2 linked regions of the Alligator mississippiensis genome follow. The protein of the gene in region 1 interacts with the protein of each later gene in a pairwise test. Links are inferred from orthologs where the notes say so. Each region holds a gene or a part of one and is shown on either strand. Other genes may lie near its edges.

The links.
Region 2: the proteins of MORN3 (region 1) and RSPH1 interact in binary tests that used the Homo sapiens proteins (3 or more experiments, as listed by UniProt). The two-hybrid records come from large-scale screens. The link is inferred for Alligator mississippiensis from reciprocal best matches to the Homo sapiens genes MORN3 and RSPH1.

What each region holds. Positions count from the first base shown.
Region 1 is NC_081833.1:2,654,322-2,664,774, forward strand, and holds the start of MORN3 (MORN repeat-containing protein 3), read right to left. Parts: upstream 4,493-10,453; 5' UTR 4,275-4,492; intron 1-4,274. UniProt on the Homo sapiens protein: Assembles a suppression complex (suppresome) by tethering SIRT1 and MDM2 to regulate composite modifications of p53/TP53.
Region 2 is NC_081824.1:299,502,389-299,512,720, forward strand, and holds the start of RSPH1 (radial spoke head 1 homolog), read right to left. Parts: upstream 5,188-10,332; 5' UTR 5,134-5,187; coding exon 5,080-5,133; intron 3,968-5,079; coding exon 3,854-3,967; intron 3,734-3,853; coding exon 3,628-3,733; intron 1-3,627.

The sequences.
Region 1 (10,453 bases):
GGAGGCAGACTGGGAGCCCAGAATGGGAGCCAGTTTTGGAGCTGTAAAAAAGCCTAAGCTGAGTAGGGGAATGTGGTAGGGATGGAAATACCTTGAAGGGTACGATAAAATTGTCTCTCTCCATTTCTTTCGTTTGAGAAGCTGGAGAAGACTGTCTTGGTTATTATTGAGCAAGTTGTGTTAATTTTCTCTTGTTTGGGGATTTTTTTTTTACTAAATAATGGAAGCCCTGAGGCAAGAGAATGCAAATGGACTAAATGGAGTTTTATTTGTACTCCCTCAAGCAAGTGGAACTGTACATCAGCTGATTAAGGATGCCTGTAGCTCACAAAACATTCAGGCCTTGCTATTTGCTGAGATGTGCATTTAATTCCCTTTCTTTGCTTTTAGAGGCCAGTTGAGTTGCTGCCGTAGTTTTAAGGTAATGCAAATATGCCATGCTGTATTAATGAAATGGCCATGCTGTAATAACTGGAGTCTAGCAGACCCACCCTGATTATGAGCTCAATTGTTGGAAAAATGGGTGAAGTTCAATATAAGTGACAATAATCTGTAACAACATAGCTAGTAAAAGAGTAGGAAAGGAAGACAGAAAGGTTGGATCCGAACAAACAAAGCAAGATTACAAAAAGCCCTTTGGAGCAGAGGTGCCCATGAGTACATGGCCCCCCTCAGGAAGAGGGCTGTTACCTCAAACGCATAAAATTTTCCATCTGTCCATCATCTTAGGCCCCCCCCAGCAAAAATACCAGTCAGTGCCTATGCTTTGGAGCAAGGAAAAGGAAGATAGAAGCAGATTTGCATATTGCATAGACAATTCCCTCTCGTTCTGTCCCATCAGATCAGCATCTTCATGTTTCCCCCATTGAAGCCATTCATAATTTAGCTGCTCCCTGCTTGTCCATCCTATTACATGAATTTGATTTTGAATGTTCCCTTTACTCCGGCAAAGACGGGAGCCTAGAACATCTGTTGGCTCAAGGTCAGCCTTTGCATTTTCCTCTTGTACTGCCCCACTAGATGGAAAAATGTCCCCTTCAAAATGTACTGTTCCTGTACTCTTGTACTTCAAATCACTTGTTAAGAAACATCTCCACCGTGCTACCAATGGAGAATTGCTACTTGACAGTGACCTAGCACCTGGTATGTCAACTTCAAATTGCTGTGGACAATTGATGTCATCCAACAATGGACTGGGCAAATGGCAAGTCTGTCCTAATGGATCCTGTTATTACTCATTCATCCTGCCTGGTATTTTTTTGTTTTCTGTGGTTTTGTTTCACCCATGTGTTAACAGCTTATTTCCAGTCTGTGGGCTCTGAGAGTCAGGAACTATCATTTTCTATGTACTTGTACAATGTTAAGTACAATGGCCCACCAACCTGGTCCAGGCATCTCAGTGCTACTGCAATACAAATAAATAATAATAATAATAATAATTAGTAGCCCCTACCTCAGTGCCTCTACTTTGTCTTTGTGAATGAGCAGCACACTTAAACATACAAGGGTGTTATTTTCTTGGACACTTCAGAAAGCAGGATTCCCATATTTTACTACCCAGTCCACTTGAAGCCTTCACAATGTCTAGTTAACTTAATTTACTACACAAGCAACTGGGGTCTATCTTGTTATGCACAGACATCATTGGGTTTTTGTGACATCATGGTAACTGTACAAGAAAAGCTAGGCTGGGTTGTGTTTGCATCTTATCCCAAAAGATCCTGTTAGTTTTACTGTTGTGATATGTATGCTTAAAGGTATCACCAAACGAATATAGTTCTGCAAGAATACCCCTTTCTCCGTGGAATACTGTATGTAAAAGGAACGATCACATGCCCACCATCATAGAAACCTACTGAAGTCAGAGTAAGGGGGTCATCAGCATCAGGCCCTGCATCTGCAAAGTGTGCAGTCTTGGCCGGTGCTTTGTGCTGAAGTGCAGCGTGGGGGTGAGGAGGATGGAGTATGAGTTGGAGGAGTGTCTGCTGATTTGTGACAAATTTTAGGCAGTAAAAACAAGGGGTGGGAAGAGTCCCTCTGCCTTGCCTACTCCTCACCTGACTTCACTGGAAGAGCAGCAGAGGAGGCTGAATCCCACCTATTTGACTGTGTGTGTGTAGATACTTATACTGTCTGAACAACCGACAAATACTAGTGTGACATCCTGTGAGATAAGGAAGTATTATTGGCTTCTTGTTGCAAAAGCGGAACCAAGGCATGGGAGGATTGGCCAGATAAACACGCTGTTCCTTCAGACACACTCAGATTAGACTTTTTCTACACGATCCACAATGCTCAGTGAGGCAAAGCATCCACTCATCTGGGGGCAGGAACATGACTGTATGTACTCGGAACAAAGTCAAATCCTCTCACGCTTCACTCCAAGAGCACCGCGGGTTGCAGCTACTTTAACTCCAAGGGTTGCAGCTACCATTTTCCCCCGCCCCACAAAACAAAAATCACAAGGAAATTAAAGACAATAACTTATTTTAATACAATTCTAGGTTACAGTTTTAAATAAATATGTTAAGGCTAAGAGTTTCACATAAGCAGCAATTCACCTCCATTCTGCGTATTACAAATGTATCTCTTAAATGTTTCTTTTAAAATTCCACCCGTAGAATACAAATGACTCGACATCGCTGTGGAAGAGAAAGCCGTCTCCTGCTTTGATCTCCAAGTCTACAAGGATGAATGTTGTATTATTGTTGGCTTTTGTGTTAATTTTATATTGAGAATTCAAAATAACAAACATACAGTAACGCAGTGTTGAGGCTGCAGGTTTAAAAAGTTAGGAAATGCAAAACAAATAGATCTAGAACATAAACTGCGAGTTTTGAAATGTTGTTCTCTGGCATTAATGGCTGGGAGCTGACAACAAATGAGCGTGCTGCAGTTCACAACTCTGACCAGGAGATGCTGCTGCTCCCACTAAAACCATCTCATGTGCTCTGCCATCCAGACCAGGTTTGTATACTCCTTCCAAATCTTGCCTTGTGTTCTTACAGCACATTTTTTTCTTTAGTCTAATAATTTTGTCTTAATTCACATGGCTCCACAAGGGGCCTAGATTTTCTTTGCTTTTTCTTTCAGGAGGGTAAATCAGGACAAAAGCTAAAGGTACTCCACAGGAAACTTATTTTTGTAGCTTCACCACTGACCTTCTAAAGGGCTGTCTCTTGCAATTTTTCTGCATCACGTTCCTGGTGTCCATGCGGTGCCAGAATCCCTTTGCAACCCCAAAACCTCTCAATTAAATCAGCGAGAAGAAATTTAAGAAGTTTACACTTGAAGGCCAGATTTTCCGAACTGCTCAGCACCCAACGTACAGCCAACTCTACAAGCTGTTCTGAAACTCTGGCCACTTTTAGATGCCTACATGGACACTGAGCTCCTTTGAACTTTCTAGCCTCACATACAGTTTGGGCATCCGAGAGATAATAGCAGCGTGTTCATCTGGATTGCTCTAGCTCTGCTGAGAGTATCTGTGGGTTTGGGCTGCCAGTCAGCAATTGAAGCCAGCACTAACAGGTGCCCTGCAGCTCTGCTGGGCTGCTGCATACAACTGAGTTCTCAGAATCAAGCAGGCTTTTTTCTGCCTTCCCTTCCCTCATAGCTGTTTAAATTTAGGCTGTTCTGTGCAACAAAGTTGGGGAGCTTGGTTCTTGCTCCTTTACCTCCTTTTGCCATCATGTAATGAGTAACTGGCAGGAGAAGGTGGTCTTGCTGCTTTTTTGTTCCATAGCTGCCAGTGATCTCTCTGCAACGCTCATCAATTTAGATGTTAATTGCTACAGTGGGGCTGAGCTAACAGCTTCTTACAGAGTCAGACATTCCCCAACCTTAGCCCCAAAATAACTTTAATCTTTTTTTCCTATGTAGTCTGTTGGACTAAATCAGAGGACAGTGGGATGGAGGAAGACTCCTTTCCTTTTTTTGCATCCCTATGACAGGTATTTAGCAGAATTCGCAGACTTTGTTTGAATCTAACAGGCCCTGCCCTGAGCACTTCTGCTATGGCCTCAAATTTATGACCACTGGAGTGTCAACTGTGCTCTTTGGCACCTGCACCACCCCAACCCCAAGAGAAGGACTAATGCAATAGGAAAAATCTTGATGTTAATTAGTGGGAACATCTCTAAAGTTAGCTGCCCCTTATTTGCCAGCCATTCCAAAGCAATGCAAAGAGATTAACAGGTATCCGTTGGCCCATGTTTCTAGACTAAAATAATTTCCATCTCCTCTCTTTTAATAGCAAATACATGTAGACTAACCTCAGAGTCAGTTCAGGGCTGATCTGTTTGTCCGTCCTGCAGGGAACGGCCGGGGGGGCTGGAGAACTACAGCATTATAGCAGCAGGAGCTGGAGTCTGTGTACGGTACCGCGAGCTCCAGCTGGGGTAGCCATAGCAACTCAAGCAAACTTTCACAACAGACAAGCCCATTTCTGCAGGGAAGAGATGTGAGAATCACATCCAGGGAACAACACTGTCAGGGTTTAAAGGCTCCATGAGGTTCATCACAGAGTTGGCAATCAAATCTAATTGCAATCATTACTGGAGCAGTACAAGCCTTTTTTTTTTTAAGTAAAACCTTGGCGTTCACCCTGTGTATGGGTATCTATGTGTATAAATTTATATTTGATTTGTATTTAAATTAGAAAATTGATTGCTTAAGATAAATACATGCATTTTCCTTGTCCTTAGAAATAGAGGTAAACAGGTAGTTTTACTTATATAGGTCTAAAACAAATTCAGTGAGTAGATACTATTCTGTTACTTCACAGTCATAGCATATCTTTATTTTCCAAAAAGCCTCAAAGCATTTAACAACTTTCAAAGCATATGTCCAATTTAGCTGGTCTAAGTAGCTTCCTCTGGTGATTTCCAAAGGCTGGCCACTAGCATAACTTCCATGGGGAAGCGTCTCTGTGTGAGAGAAAACACAGACTGGGAGGGATACCTTCCAGAGTAGGAAAGGTGCCTGTCCAAATTACTGGCAGGGCTTGTCTCTGATGTTTGAAAAGTGTTCCTACAGTGGGATACCAATCTCTTTGGGGTGCCTAAGTGCTTTTGTCATGAAAATAGTAACCTTCAGCCCTCAATAATGAACTTCAACCCATGTTTCCATAAAGTTAGATTTGTTGTGGTTTGTTAAAGAGCAAAGGGTGATTCCTCAAAGCTACAGCTCCACTATATAAAAAGGCATTTATTTCCATCAGAGTGTCTGTAGGAAAGAAATGAAACCATAACCTTCTTAGTACGACAGTTCAGTAGCATCTGACAAAGTCGGCTGTTCCCCAGAAAAGCTTATGGCTCTGAACCAGGTAGTCTCTAAGGCTGCTTGCAGACACAAACAAAACAAAAACCATGCTTGACTTTAAATTTGGTGCCCTCCTGTGCTGAGCCCAGCACATGCCCAGAAGAGACAACATGTTACTTCGACCCAGCTCTGCAGCGTCTGTATAGATCAAGCGCTTTAGTGGGGCTTTTTTGGCGCTTTTATCTAATAGTTGAGTGAATCAGCTATTAGATAAAAGTGCCAAAAAGCCCTGCTGATGCGTCCAATCCATACAGATGCTGCAGAGCCAGGTCAAAGTAACGCACTGCTTCTTCCAGTAAAGTTTTTTTTTTCATGTCTGCAAGCAGCCTAAGGTGTTATTTTGCCATGCCCTCTGCCTAACAGTGCCATAGGTTAGAATAGACAAGATTGACTAACCTAAAATCTGACCTAAAAATCAGACCACTGAGATATCCTGAGGGTTAAGTAACTTAAGATCCATGTTCATTCGTGCTGGTATTTAAATTACATCAAGCTTTGGGGCTAAGTTCAGAAGTCAAAAAGCTCAAGGCTGAATTGATTCAGTCTTTGCAGGTTAGTCTAAGCTGTAGAGAGTGAACCAATACGCAAATGAACAGACATTCACTTTTGCAGTCACGTGTCTGCAGTGGCTCATGCCAGAAACCGGGGAGTACTAGAGTGCTCCTGCCAGGCACTGCCAAAGGGAAGGGAAGACAAAAGGCCCTCCAAGGCTTTCCCCCCCTCCCTGCTCAAGAGAAGGAGATGTGGCCAAGCCGTAGCCTGGAGCTAGCTGGAGGGTCATCAGGGTGGGGGCGTCAGCCAGGCTGAGGAGGGGGGGGGTGGGGACAAAGGTAGTGGCATTGAATTCATAAAAGGTTGAACAAGAATTGTTGTTTCTCTGAAGTGAGCATTCAACACAGCTCGTCCGTGTGTTCACTTCTTCCTGTGGCCCCCAAGGTCTCTGGGATTTGCAGCCCACAATCACAGCAGCAGGACACTGCAGGGGTGCTCATCACTTCCTCTTCCTGTTTCCAGGTACCTCTGGGATTTAGTCCATAGTCACAGCCAGCAGTGAATTTAGCAGGGCAGGGCAGCTCTGTACTCAGGGGAAGGGGAGTTTAACCCCGCTCCCTGGCCCTAGGCCCCAGCTGGGTTTTGCCTGGGGTGGCCAGTGAAGCAGCCAGTGAGCCAGCCATCACTGCTCTGGCTAGGGAGCAAAGGGGCGGGGCCAGCCCTGCTCTCTGGAACAGCCAGCCCAGCTTAGCCCAGCCCAGGACTGCAAAGCATGGAGGGATACTGAGGGACTCTGACTTAACTTGAACCAGGAAAGGGGTATGGGACAGAAGTTTCATAAACTGGTTTGACCTAAATCAGTTATGTCTGATACTACATTCAACCAGGTTTATCTTAAACCAATTTCAGCCATTTTGCAACTGGTTTATGTGCACTGAACTTCTGTTCTGTTACAGGTTTAAACCAGTTTCTGATCACTTAAACTGGTTTATGTGTAACTTCTGTCCCTAGCCTGGATGTTTACCAAAACCTGCATCATTCTCTTTCTGAAGGGCTTTTGCAACAGTTCGATTCAGTAGTTTCTTAGCCTTCACATTATAAGTGTTGTGTTGATTTTGTTTTGCTTATATTTTCAAACATTTATGAAAGTGTGCTTGAAAGTAAAAAGAACTGAGGATTCTGTACATATAAGCCACAGTTGTTTTAGTGATGCAACAGTAAAGCAGGTTTTAAAACACCTTTTGGGTCAAAGGCTCAAGGGAATTAAACACATTTATTTGTCATACCAGTAAGTACCCAATTCTGGGGACTGGAGTTGATAGCCTGGGAGACCCCTTCTAGTCCCCTCTTCCTGTCTTTAATATCTTGTTTTAGATGTTTTCTTCTGTATATGTTAATCAATCAATTTCCAAATTCTGGCATGAACTTTTGAGCTTGTTTACGATGAAAATAATAGGCCAAAGTCTCTAATTCAAAACCCTAAAGCCTGTTCAACTGTTTAATTTTGTACACAGCCAGGGTCACATAAACTTTTTTTACTCTTGAAGACCCTTTGTTCCACTGAAAATAACAGAGCGCTGGCTCCTCACTGGGACAGGTATAGCATGTGAACAAGTTTACCAGATCTGTTGAGGCCCCTCCTTTCTGTCTCTTATTTTCCCTGTACGGTCTTGGCCAAACTGCTGGAATGAACAGGGCTGATGCAGAGTGAGGGTGAAGGCAGAGATCTGAAGACACTTGAGGACAGAATACATAAGAGAGATGGTGTCAACATTTTAACCCATTTGTGTAGTTAAGACATCTCTGATGGAATAGGAGTGGGTGAGGAAGAGTCTGAGAATTAAAACCTGCATGAAAAATGTGAACAGGGCAACTGCACAACAGTGTTAGGTCCTGATGCATCTGTCAAGTGCCAGAATGTCTATTCTAAAATACTCCCCTACTAACATCCCCATGACACAGTGGTTATAACATAAGAAGAACCCCAGGAGCAGGCAGCTGATGATACCTACTTCTGTGTTCTGGCTCATACCTGACAATGATTAATGATTGGAATAGATTACATCATCTAGGCCAAAGTGCTGTCTGTCTTGCATACACTAGAGCTGCTGACTCTACAACAGATGTTAAATTCAGGGAGATTAAAAAAAAATACCCTAGGTATGCTTAGAATAGGGGTTCAATGATTCTGCCTTTCTCAGCAGTGCCTACTCCTTCCCTACCCTTTGCATTCCAGTCACTGCTTCCTGCAGCATCTACAGCACTGGGTGTAAGCCCAGTGCTTATGAAAGCTCATGCTATACATTTCTTAGTTAGTCTATGAAGTGCAAATCTACCCTGCCTTCTGCCTGACTTCAGACTAACACAGATAGCTACCTCTACTCTATTTGTCATTAAAAGGATAAATGCTGCTAGCGTTGGAGACAACACAGATCCCATGAGAACTAAACAGCAAAAGGATAAAACATGAGGTTCACATTTGAGGAGAATAGAGCTTTTCTCCTATAAGGGTAAAGTTTAGCCAAAGCACATTACAGCTGTCTTACTGGAAATCCCAGACTGCAACAAACTCCCGGAAGACCTAAGAACCACCACAAACCACAGCAAGACCCACTCCAAGTTCCAAGAGGGTTTATATGACATTGCCTTCAGTAATATAAACACATAGTAACATGCAGATATTTATTAAATAAATTAAAACCTACCAAAACATTATACCGCATGCACAATTTCTCCCTTGAGAAGAGAAGGAGAGGAAATTAATCATACATGACAGAAGTTCGTCAAGTCGCTTAATGCACTGTGCAAAAGCACTCAGATATCCTTAGTGATGATGAGGGCAGCATAAGAATCTATACAGAAAAGAAATAAAGCAATTTGTGCTGGAACTGGGTTAGTTTGTTAGAAACACAGGACTTCAAGAAGTGTAGGGGCACTGGTGGACTTTGGGGAGATGGGGAATGAAGGATGATACGCCCTAAATTCTATGCTGTAGTGCTGTAGGAAGTGTAGAGACTAGAAGACAAAATGTCAGCTGCTCACCTATTTTGTTTAGCCGAGAAAGAGTGCACTATTTTGCTATCTCAGCGGTTTTCAACTGTTTTTCATTTGCAGACTTCTTTGGAAATTTCGAATGGAGGTGCGGACCCCTTTAAATTGTAAGCGTGGGTATTCACATTCTTTTGATCATTTTTCGCAGACCCCTTATACATCATCTGCGGACCCCAGGGGTCCTTGGGCCACGGGTTGAAAACTGATCCTAGCCGCCCTGACAGTGAAGTAGTGCCTCCTGATGTCAGGGCGGATAGGATCTGGAACCAACTTCCAAGAGAAGTGGTGCTGGCTCCTACCCTGGGGGTCTTTAAGAGGAGACTGGATGAACACCTCGCCAGGGTCGTTTGACCCCAGTACTCTTTCCTGCCACGGCAGGGGGTTGGACTTGATGATCTACTCAGGTCCCTTCCGACCCTACCAACTATGAAACTATTAAAAACCACCATACTATCTCACTCTAGTGGCCAGAGTTGTATACTGTTTGCTTTAAATAGATAGGTTGGATGATTTCTAACTTCTTAAAGACTGGATTTACAGTAGCTTTGTGTATAAATTACCTTGCTCCATTTGCCATTACAAGGATGAGTAAACTGCAAAATGGAGTGAAGTGATATGGTTCACATGGAAGTTAAATGCAAAGGAGAAGCACAGCAGAGAGTCAATGTAGAAATTATAGAAGAAGCATTAGTGCTACAGAAAAAGGCCCCATCCCTAATTAAAATATAAATATTGAGATATCTGCTGATGAATTATCCTCAGTCGGGTGATAGTATGCACTTGCAGGATAGTTTTAGGCACATCACAAAATAAATTTCAGGCTGAAACATGGCACATAATTCCCACAGAATCTGTAACAGGAGTGTAAAGTAGTTCTGCATGTAACTGAATACAGGAACACACTGCATTATACATAAATTGGAGCAACAACAACAAAAGTAGCTCTAACTTTCATTCTCTCACTTAAGCATGAAAGGTACAAGGAATACTGATGCAGTCAACCAAATTTTAAATATTTACACCAGACAAAAGATTTCCTGTAATTAAAAACATTCAATAAAGAAGTAAGGGAAGGATTTACTCACACCACTTCCTCAAAACATCTTTCTGGAGACAGCATAGGACATGAGTGAGGATGATGGCCTTACGTTTTACAGCAGAGTCTTCAAGTGGATGAAAAGAAGGGGCACAGACTCATGGAGGAACTAGTAGGGGTCTGTGCAGTAATACCAAATAGTGGCTATAAATTGCCCTTCTTGTAAAAAAAAAATATTTTGTCTATTATTTTCTTTATTCTAGTCCTCAAATTCTATGGCAGATAACAGCGCCAAAGGATCTGTCAGTTGTTCATCAGTGATCACAAGCAGCAGTTACTGGTAATTACAGTATTCAGACACTATACTTGTAAGATATGTATCCCATTTGTTTGTCTTTTTAACTTACTTGTTTAGGGGTTTTTTCATTTAGGGTGATTGATATTTCTGATCCTATTTGAGATCTGCAGCTACAGACAGTCTATAATTTGGAGAAATAAACAAGAACAAACAGCTTTTGCAATGATCTCAAATACACAGCAGAGCATTTTTAA
Region 2 (10,332 bases), on another chromosome or scaffold:
TGCCCTGTGCCTGAAGAGGGAAAAGCTGCTAAGGAAGGAGCCCTAGCAGTGACTAAGGAGCACAGCTGTGGGTTGCCGGGGCAACCAAAGAAGGTCAGCTGACCAGAAGGGGCAGGGCTTGACCCTTATAAAGCCCAGCAGCAGAGGCCTGAGGCAGTTCCCTGTCAGCAGCCAGAGAGGCAGGGGCTCCCTAAGCTAGGATACGAGAAGAAGCCTGACCGCAGGTACGGTTTATGGCAGTTCTTGAGGCTTGAGCAATGTTGTTTTAGCCAGGCAGCTTCAATTTATGTTACAGCCCAGGGGCTTGTGTTTTGTTGTTGGTTAAACCGGTGGTTTGGGTGAGGCTATAAGGGGTTGGAGGAGGCCTCATAGGGGACTCACAGCAGAGTGTGAGGACCCCAGCACCAGTGCGGGTGCAGCATAGGGGATACATAGACCCAGCCCAGGGGGGGGGCGACTGAGGGGCCCCAGTGTGGGCGTGGTGAGCCCCAGGAGAGGGCAGCATGACTGAGAAGCCCAAGTTGGGCACTGTGAGCCCCAGGAGAGGGCAGCGTGATTGAGGAGTCCAAGTGTGGGCATGGCGAGCCCCAGACAGGGGGGGCAGCATAATTCAGCAAGCCCAAGTTGGGCACGGGGAGCCCAGGAGAGGGCGTTAGCATCACAGAGAAGGCCCAGAGAGAACAGGAAGGGGCCAAGATAGGGATACACCTGAGTTAACATCTGCGAGGCTTGGGCTGAGGTATTGGAAAGGAAAGGAGCCGCAGATAGCGCCCCCTGGCAGCGGGGCGGTACCAGGGCAGCCTCCTGCTAATTAACACTAATTAATTAACTAACAACAAGGCATGGCAGGTGAGTAGGTGGGTGGTTGCCCCAGAGACAGGTGTGGGCCACATTAAGGGCGGCCCAGATCATGTACCTGTTACACCTATATAGGACTTGAATTTATAATGTGGTCAAAAACCTTTTTCAGGCCTTCTTTGGAAATCATAACACAAAACAACTCTATGATAATTTTTCTATTCAAATCACCACTGCAATCTGGGAGGTTCTAGATCATCAAATAAAAGAACAGTGTGAAAATATTTTCAAGACTCCCAAAAAGATCCTACATCTTAGCTGCAATATGCTTTTAACCTGGTTTAAGTGTCCACATTTACAAACTTGTCTGCTTAAACTTTAGGCAATTATGAGTAACTGTATATTTTGATTTTCATAGAAAAGATATTGAGTAATGGACCTGAGCCATTCACATCTAGATCTCCATCTGTTCTATTAAGTGCCTAAGTTTGGCCCTGACACTTCAAAATTCAGTCTCTAGTTTTTAATCCTTTGTTTAAAGTTGATGTTATTCTGTACTAGGCCTGTGTTAAAATCTTTACTGAAAAGAAAGCAAAGCCTTTTTACAGAAAAGTGTTAATCCTGGAGTTAAATGACTTCCTAGAAAAAAAATCTTTAAAACAGTTAATGAAGAAGATAAGAGTTTGACTCAACTAATCTCCTTGCTGTCAAAAGAAGACGCAGAAAATAAATCAGCCTCAAACCACTTTTCTGTGCTGTAATAGCATTCCCTAATTCCATTTACATAGATGCACAGGGGGGCACCTCTGCAGGCCCTTTAAGACTGGAGACTTCCCAATATGGGTTCCACCACCTGAGACTATATAAGGGCTGAATCAGGAAAAGAAGTGAGCTGCAGTCTGGCGGCTAAAGCTCGTCCAGGGGTTGTCAACCGAGGGTACGTGTACCCCTAGGTTACTTTGGAAGGCCCCAGCGGTTCCATGGCAGCAGTACGGAAAAGCTACTGACACTTCTGGTTTCGCTTGTTGACTGGCTGCTAAGGGACTCCCCGCTTCTCGAGCGGCTGCCAGGGGTACACCAACCAAAAAAGGTTGAAAACCCCTGCTCTAGTCAAAAGTATGGTGCTGGACAGCTCATGGAGAAAACTGGGGTACCAGAGCAGAGGATTAATGAAGACTACAGAGAAGAGCAGTACAGAGCCAGTGACCAGAAAAAAGGAACAGCAAAAGAGAAGAGTTAGAGCTGGGTGCACTGAAGAGGTTTGAGGAAACTGGAAAACGAAACAAGCTAAGGAAGATGGTTGATAATAAATTCCATGGTTCACGGATCCAGTGGAGTGTGGATTTGTAGGAGATCTTCATAGCCAGACAGGGTCAGGACCTTAAACCAGAAGAGCCTGATGGGCCTGGATTCCCATACCTTAACCTTGCCCAGAGTAAGAGGTGCTAAGACACTACCGGTATGCAGAGGGTGAGAGATCATAGTGAGTCACTCAGTAAACACAACCCCCACGTGATGAAGTAGCATACTCTTGAATTGTCACTATTGGGCCTGACAGCCTGGAGTGAAAGACTGTCTAAATGAACCAAGAAATAGACAGTACAGCCTGGTGAAAGAGGACTATTGACTCATTAAGTCTAATGAAAGACTTGTAAGGTGTGATTTCTGTACACAACTTTCATAATGTGACCATAAACTACTAGACAGTCAGGTTTCCCCCTGTCACGAAGTGGAACAAGACAGAAAATGTATTGCCCAAATAGAGATTGTTCCACAAAGATAACTCATAAATGTTCAAGAATGAGAAGAAATGCTCCTTGGCCAAGGGCTAGACAGCTGGTATTGCACACCATCTAATATACTGCAGGTCTTCACATGACTGGCATGTCTCTCTGCCTCGTTTCTCCATGCTAATGAGGCCTTGGTATGAGCTGGATCAGGGAAGTCCTGGTTCAAATGAAGGAAAACCACAGAAATTTAGAGAATTTTCAGGTCAAACAGGAAGGTGTCTCCAGGTTTGGCAGTGACTGAATACTGTTTGTGTATTGTAATTAAGCACTAATAATCTTGCATAGGCTTTCTTTGTGTATACATTTGCCCAAAGACTCTGCTGCATGAATTAATTTAATCTTCTGCACATCTCTTAGCACTTCCTTGCTACCATTTGGTATAGCAAAAAGAGAGGTCAGGAGACAGGGGCTGTCCAGGGAAGAAAGTGGGTATGTGGCAGAGCCTGCTCAGCCATGCCCAGTTCTCTGTTGGTAAACATATGCCAGAAATCATAAATACTTTTTACAGATGCTTTAAATTGTGCCAAGGCTGGGTAGTGATCACAGCACCTGTTCTTAGGTTCAGTTTCTACTCTTTGCTGTTTTGGGTGTACTGGAGCTATACATCCTACACTTTATCATTATGATAACATAATTCTCTGAAAGAGGAAAAATACTCTGGACTGAAATCTACAATTCTAGGAGCTTAATCACTACATGTGAACACATATTCTTGATATTGTTTGCTCTTGTAATGTAACTATACTCTCTTCTATTATTCCAATGGAGGATGTAAAAACTTTGCTCAATGGTGTGTATAATTTGGAATATTAAATTCTGTTGATTGAGTTAGTGAGACAATAAATCCCTGCCAAATACTTCAAGCCACTTCCCTCCCAAATTTGCAAAAAGGCAGGAATAACAGGAAAGAAACACAGAAATGTTGGTGTTAGAAATATAGTTAGAAATGTGGCACTAGACTTATTTTCTCCTAACACTTAAGTGTATAACCTTGCCTTCTCAGGTGTTTAAATCCTCAGAATCATGGTCAGCACTTTACCTTCATACTTTGATCCATCTGGATACATAAAAATGCCATGGCCATGCTTTCTGTTTTGAAGGTATTCTCCAATGTAGCGAGCACCATTTTTAAATCTGTAGGTTCCCTGAAACATATTTGGTGTAGATATAGGGCTTGTCAATTTTCACTATCATTTCAGCCTCGTTTAATAAAACTGTTTGAAACATATAAATGACTCGTTAGAGAGGACTGCGCTAAATCTTACCAATCCGTTTCTTAGACCATATGCATATTCTCCTTCATATGTATCACCATTGGGTAACCGAGCTCGTCCATGTCCATGCCGTTCACCTGCTGCATTGCGCTCACCATCATACTCCTAATTAAAAAGAACAAGATGCAAGGTGGGTTTTATGATTATTTTTTGTTCTATCAGTTGCATTGATAGGAAAATTTTTTTTTTTTAGTCTCAAGTAATGCCATTCATCTGCTGAGAGGGAGACTGGAAGCTGAATTCAGCATGTGTAAGAAAAGGCAGCCACTTCTTGGTTGTGACCTGCTCCTTTTCTGAGTCCCTTGCTTAGGTTGGTCATTCTCAACCATGATGCTAAGGCAGCCTGGGGTGCTTTGAGATCCTTTTAAGGGTATAATAGCAGGGGTGCCATGCAATGTTAGCACTGTCAGGTGTGCACACCTGATTCCTGAGATAAACCCAGAGATTTCCAGTAGGAATCCATGGTGTTAAAAGCACTCTGCCCTGTTGGGGTCTTCCTGAGTTTTTTGCAATGGAAGAACTGCTCTACTCTTGTTCTGCAGTCAAAAAACATGAGTGAAAGCTATGAGCTGGCAGTGCTCGGGGGTGGGGTTCTATAAAGGTTGAGAACCCCTAGACCATGTCCTTTCCCCAAAAACTCCCACCCTCAAGCAGGGATGTACACCGGCTCCTGCTTGGCATCTGGAAGCCACCTTCTTTTCAGCACTGCCCCTCCCCCTGTGTCCACCCATCCATTCATCCACCGATCTGTCTATCCAACCACCCATCCGGTCAAATGCACATCCGTCCGTCCATCCATCCGTGCATCTATCTGTCCATCCGCATATCCGCCCATCTATCTGCTTGTCCGCACATCCATCCATCCATGCACCTACCCATCCCTCCACCTGTCTGTCCATCCATCCATCCACCCATCCATCAATGCATTCATCCATCCATTCACTCATCTATTTACCTGACCACCCATCGGTCCATCCATGCATCTTTCCATCCACTCATCCATCCATCTATCTAACCATACATCCATCAAGGCATCCATCCAGCTGTCTTGTCCATCCATCCATTTACACATCCACCCCTCGTCCATGTGCCCACGCCCCCCAGACCCGGCACCCAGCGGCGGGGTGGGGGGCAGGTCTCTCGCGCGTGGGGGCGCTAGGACCCGGCGGGGGCCATTGGGGCGAGGGGTGGGGGGCGCTACGGCGGCCCGCGCGCACCCCGAGGTCGGTCTCCGCCTCCTCCTCAAACTCTTCCGAGCCCAGGTCCGACATGGCGCCGCAGCCGCGTCACCGTCGCCATGGAGACCACCCCCGCAAGGTGGGGAGGGAGGCGGTTAGAACAGCGAGCGGCGTCGCCAAGGCAACGCGGGCACCGCCCCGAGCTCTTCCGGGCGGGGGGTGGGGCTCGCGCTGCTGTCCCGGGTCCTGAGCGCGGCGCTCTTAGCCCCGCCCCCTCCCTGCGCAGTAACCCCTTCCTGCCCGGCGCGCAGCTGTGGACATTGCCCGGGCTCGGTTGGCTGCTGCATGAGGCTGGGGGATGACTTTCCTGCTGTCACGTGGGTCCAGGGGGTTGGGAACCTCCCCCACAGTTGGGGGAGCCTGGCTGGGCCATCAGCTCTCCTTTTTAATGGACTGGGTGTTACCATTAATCAAGTTAACTTTTCTTAGGGCAATTTTGTTTCGAACTCCTTGCACCCATCCTCTCTTCTCCTATTTCTCACCCCCCTGGAGAGTCTTCTGCTTTCTTCAAAATCATCCTTCCACCCATGGAAACAGCTAGGGTTTCCACTTTAGTTAGGCAGGTTAGTTAGTGGGAGATTGGGCTCTGTCCCTGCTCTGTGCAGCCAGAACGCTGGAAAAATCTTTCAAAAGCACTGTGGGTATTATACTGTGGCACATGTGTGCGCAAGAAAATATGGTCATTTCTATTGCAGAATAAAGGTAATGAGTCTGTCTCATGCCATTTAGAGCGAATCTCTCTCATAGTCGTGCAGCTTCATTTCTGCCCTCTGGGAGTTCGCAGTCATGCAGAATGGTTGGGCCTGAAATCAGTAAATATAAAGAACATGTTACATTTTAAACTATAGCTACATCCAGCATTGTTTCTCTTGGGTTCAGAGCTACTTGGACATTGCAGGTCACAGATCTTATCTGTTCATTGTATCATATGACTTCAGCTTGTAAATGAATCTTTATGCATCTGGACAACAGAGCAAGCGCTCTGCAGAAGCTGGGTGAATCTTATTACAAACTGTGTTTTCTTTTTAAATTGAAGCCAGAAGACATATGCTAGACTTCGCTCTGCTGAAGTGTCTGAAATCCAACCGGAAGGATGAAGCTGTCTTAGGTTAGCACTCCTCCTACTAAGGAGAATTTGTGGACAAAAGAACTTGTGTGCGCCTGAACAAGCATCAAGGCAACATGTTTTCTGTCTGAGTACAAGAACAGTGCATTGCAGGTAACTTGTATGTTTTGATTATTGGCATATTGGCAAACAAGCCTCAGCCTTCAGCATGTAAGATTATTGCATTAGCAGTCTGGAAGGATTCTCTACTTCCCATATAAACCACTGGAGGAATGGCAATCCAGTTTTTTCATTAGACCATTCCTAGTATCTGACCAACAACTTACTTTCTCAGATGCCAGGGATAGTTCAACAATAAGGTAGGTTGTTGTCTGTTTAAAACCATGCGTCTCTAAACCAGTTAGTTTCTAAGGGTGTAGTAACATGTTATACTTAGACCATACTAAATCTGTGGAAAGTTAGGTGGTGTTAACGTTCGAACATGCTGTGAGTGGTTGTATGTTAAAGAGTAATAATGTTTCTTGCCTACAGAGCTCTGACCTGCCACTAGAGGTTTGCCAGCAAGGAGGTGGCTAGGAGCCAGGACACCAAGACTATATCCCTGCTGAAGGGGGAGGGAGGAACAGTTTATCCTGGGATGCTGGAGGATTGCATATATCTCCTTTAAGCTCTGTGGAGCAGACTAAAGTTACTCTAACATGAGCTAGATAACACAGCCCAGAATTAACCATCATGTGAATTGACTTAATTCTGAGATGCTCAGAGGAAACTTAGCACAACTTAACTAACTTTAATGTATGGGTGCTTGTATGTGTCTACACATGCACTTTAATGTGCATTAGCCTATTTTAATGCTTATTAAAGCATCACAAAAAACTATTACCTTTAGCTCATGCTCATTTTTGTAGTACCTTACAATGAAGGGCATTTATAGACATGATCCAAGAGGCCTGGGGTGGGTGCTTTAATTAGCATGGCTCTAAGAACTGCACTAATTAAAGCACGTGGAGTGTCACGTGTATCAGCATCCCCACACTTAAAAATACCAGCAATGGTGCTTTAACTACAGCTTGTCAAACAAGCTTTAGTTAAAGCGCCTCTGCCACCATTTTTCAATGTGGGGACACTGATAGATGTGATGCTGGAGTCTGCTGGAGTGCAATAATTATCACGCTTCTGCAGATTCAATCGTGTCTGCTCCAACACGCTGTAATTAAAGCACATTGGAGCAGCCTCCCTGCATGTGTATAGGGGCCCATGGGTACTAGATTTAATACACATTACCTATAGCACATTAATTAAACATGTAGATACACCTGTTGTTTTAAATGTCCTTAGTATGTTCTAAATGAAATGTGTAACTTCACTCTAGGGCAATGGTTCTCAACCTTTCTAGATGTAAGGTACCCCTTGTTAGACTCAAAGTATTCCTTGGAAAATGCCAGCTCTTAGTTTTTACTCATTTTTTGACTATGAAGAAATAATTGTGAAGTTTTTCTGTTGCAAAGAAATCAGAAAGATCCCAGAAGCTCAGAATATTTTTAACACTAAGGATCCTATTTGAAATGTCTGGATTTATTTTGTGAATCATAGTTGCATTCCTAACAATACTAACATTACATGGCACCCTGTTGCAACCTTGAAAGGATCTTGAGGCACCCCAGGGTGACATGGAAAGCTGGTTGTGAAGCACTGCACTAATGTGTGACCCTACCCTACCTTCTGATGGAAGCAAGATAGCAAGATATCAGAATTTATGAATGAGGGATGTGATCTGGTTTGGAAAAAAACCCTATGTTCGTGTATAAACAAAACAGATGACAGAACAAGGAGCAATGGTCTCAAGTTGCAGCAAGGGAGGTTCAGGGTGGATATTAGGAAAAAACCTTCTTACTAAGAGAAGGGTGAAGCACTGGAACAGATGACTTAGAGAGATGGTAGAATCTCTATCCTTGAAGGCTTTTAAGACCCAGCTTGACAAAGCCCTGGCTGGAATGATCTAGTTGGGGATGGTCCTGCTTTGAATAGGCAGTTGAACTAGATCAGGGGTGGGCAAAATGCAGCCCGGGGGCTGGATGCGGCCCACCAGGCCATTCTACCCAGCCCACGGGGCCCCTAAAAAATTTAGAAAATTAATATTAATCTGCCCTGGGCTGCCTGTCATGTGGCCCTCGGTGGCTTGCCGAAACTCAGTAAGCGGCCCTCTGCCCAAAATAATTGTCCGCCCCTGAACTAGATGATCTCCTGAGGTTGGACTAGATGACCTTCCAACCCTAATTTTCTATGATTCTATGATAATAGTCATGGGCTATTAAAATTACTATCAAGTTACACTGAAACTGAATTGTCACAGACAATAGGAGCACAAGGGTGCTGCATGGATGCTAAGTGACTATTTAGGTACCAGCGTGACAATTAAAGTGTAAGACTCCAAATCCCTTGGACATTTATGGTTTCACATGTACAACTGTCCTGCACTCTGATTAATGGCTCTCTTTTCGTCTAGTAGGCAACATACTAACATGGACCTCAAAATGGCCGTATCCTTAGCTAACAAATTCCTCATCTTCTGGCTTTAGAGTTTGGTGTATCTGTATTAATTTTAAAATGCTTTGTACTTGAATTCTGACATAGTATGAGCAAGCTTTACACTTAACTCACAATTGTAGGTTTATTTTGCTTCTATGCAAATTGCCAGTGTCTGGCTGAGGAGGTCCAATTTGAATAATAGCTCTGCAGTTACTAAATAACTGCGTATTATGCAAACGGCTGTTCTGATTACTTACTGCTGTCAGTGCTTGATATCCATATGCCTGCTTTAAATATAGCCATAAACCTCATCTCCTCCTTCCTCAACCCTGATAATATCACATGTTTCTCGTGCCTAAGGAATGCTAAGCCTTTCTGCTCAGTAAAGTAAAGCCTTTCATTTTAAAAGTAGTTATTTTTTATGCATGAGAGGCAAATTAATCCTAAGCAGTTAAGGGGGGTGTAGGTGTGTGGCTGAATATGCATCTCAATAATTTGAAGGCAATCCTTATTAAGTTACCTGGACTAATATGTACTTTAGCCTCACAGTTAACATAGCTAAGGGTATAATTCTGTCCAACAGGATGCACTGACAAGCTATAGCACACATTTTCCATATCTGTGGTTAAATACACTTTCTCTAGGTAATGAACGTTTCAGACTGCTGTTTTGAATGGGAGTGAGGGGAGTCATGTACAAATTTCTATGGGACCCACCCATTAATTATTTCTTCTGAAAACTCAAGCAGCCTTAAGTTTAGTGAATAAAGTGTTGCTATTGGAAGGATCAGTGTGCAAGAAAATATGGTTTGATCGAACTGTCTTATTATTTGCAATTTTTCTTACCCAAGGAGCTTGTCACATCCTAATGACTATATATTATAGAAGTAAATACAATTCAAGATCATATCATATGTGAATATATTTTGTAGCTTCTGGTCTTCTGACTGCATTTTATCAGGGATAGTTAATGCCTGATTTACATTACTAGTATTACTAGTATAACAGTGATTTTTCTATTACATTACTAATAAGCAATATAAATCTATTACATTACTAATAAGTAATATAAATTTAATATCCCTGATAAAATGCAGTCCTGCTTCTGTTGAAAGATATTGCTTATCCAGTAGTGAAAAATCACTGTTAATGCCCAATAGTACAAAACTTCATACAGGAATTCTTTTATTTTGCTGTACCAAAGGGCCAAAATTAAAACTCAAAGATGCATCTATTTCAGGTGCAGTGATGGGATTTCTATAACCCACACTGTAACAATTTAGAACGAGGAAATGGAGGGATGGGTTGCTTCTCCAGCTCTAAGAGGCTAGCTGTGCCAACTTGGCTAGAAGACTGCCACCCAGACAGAAGGGGGCAGCAGCCAGGCATAAGTAGTCTTGGAAAAGAGCCTTGAAAATGGCCTAGGCTAGCACAGCACGAAGACACAAATTCCCAGAGAGGAGCTATGAGTATGAAGGTATCCAGGCAAAGGTAGGAGCACCCCAGGGGTCAGCAAGGGGCCATAAAGGACTTTTCAGGCCTCACATAAGGCTCAGCAGAACTCTAGATTTTTTTGGACTTTGGGAGAGGTGAGATCCTATTGGTCCAAGTCAAGGAAAACAGTAGTAATGGAAGGAT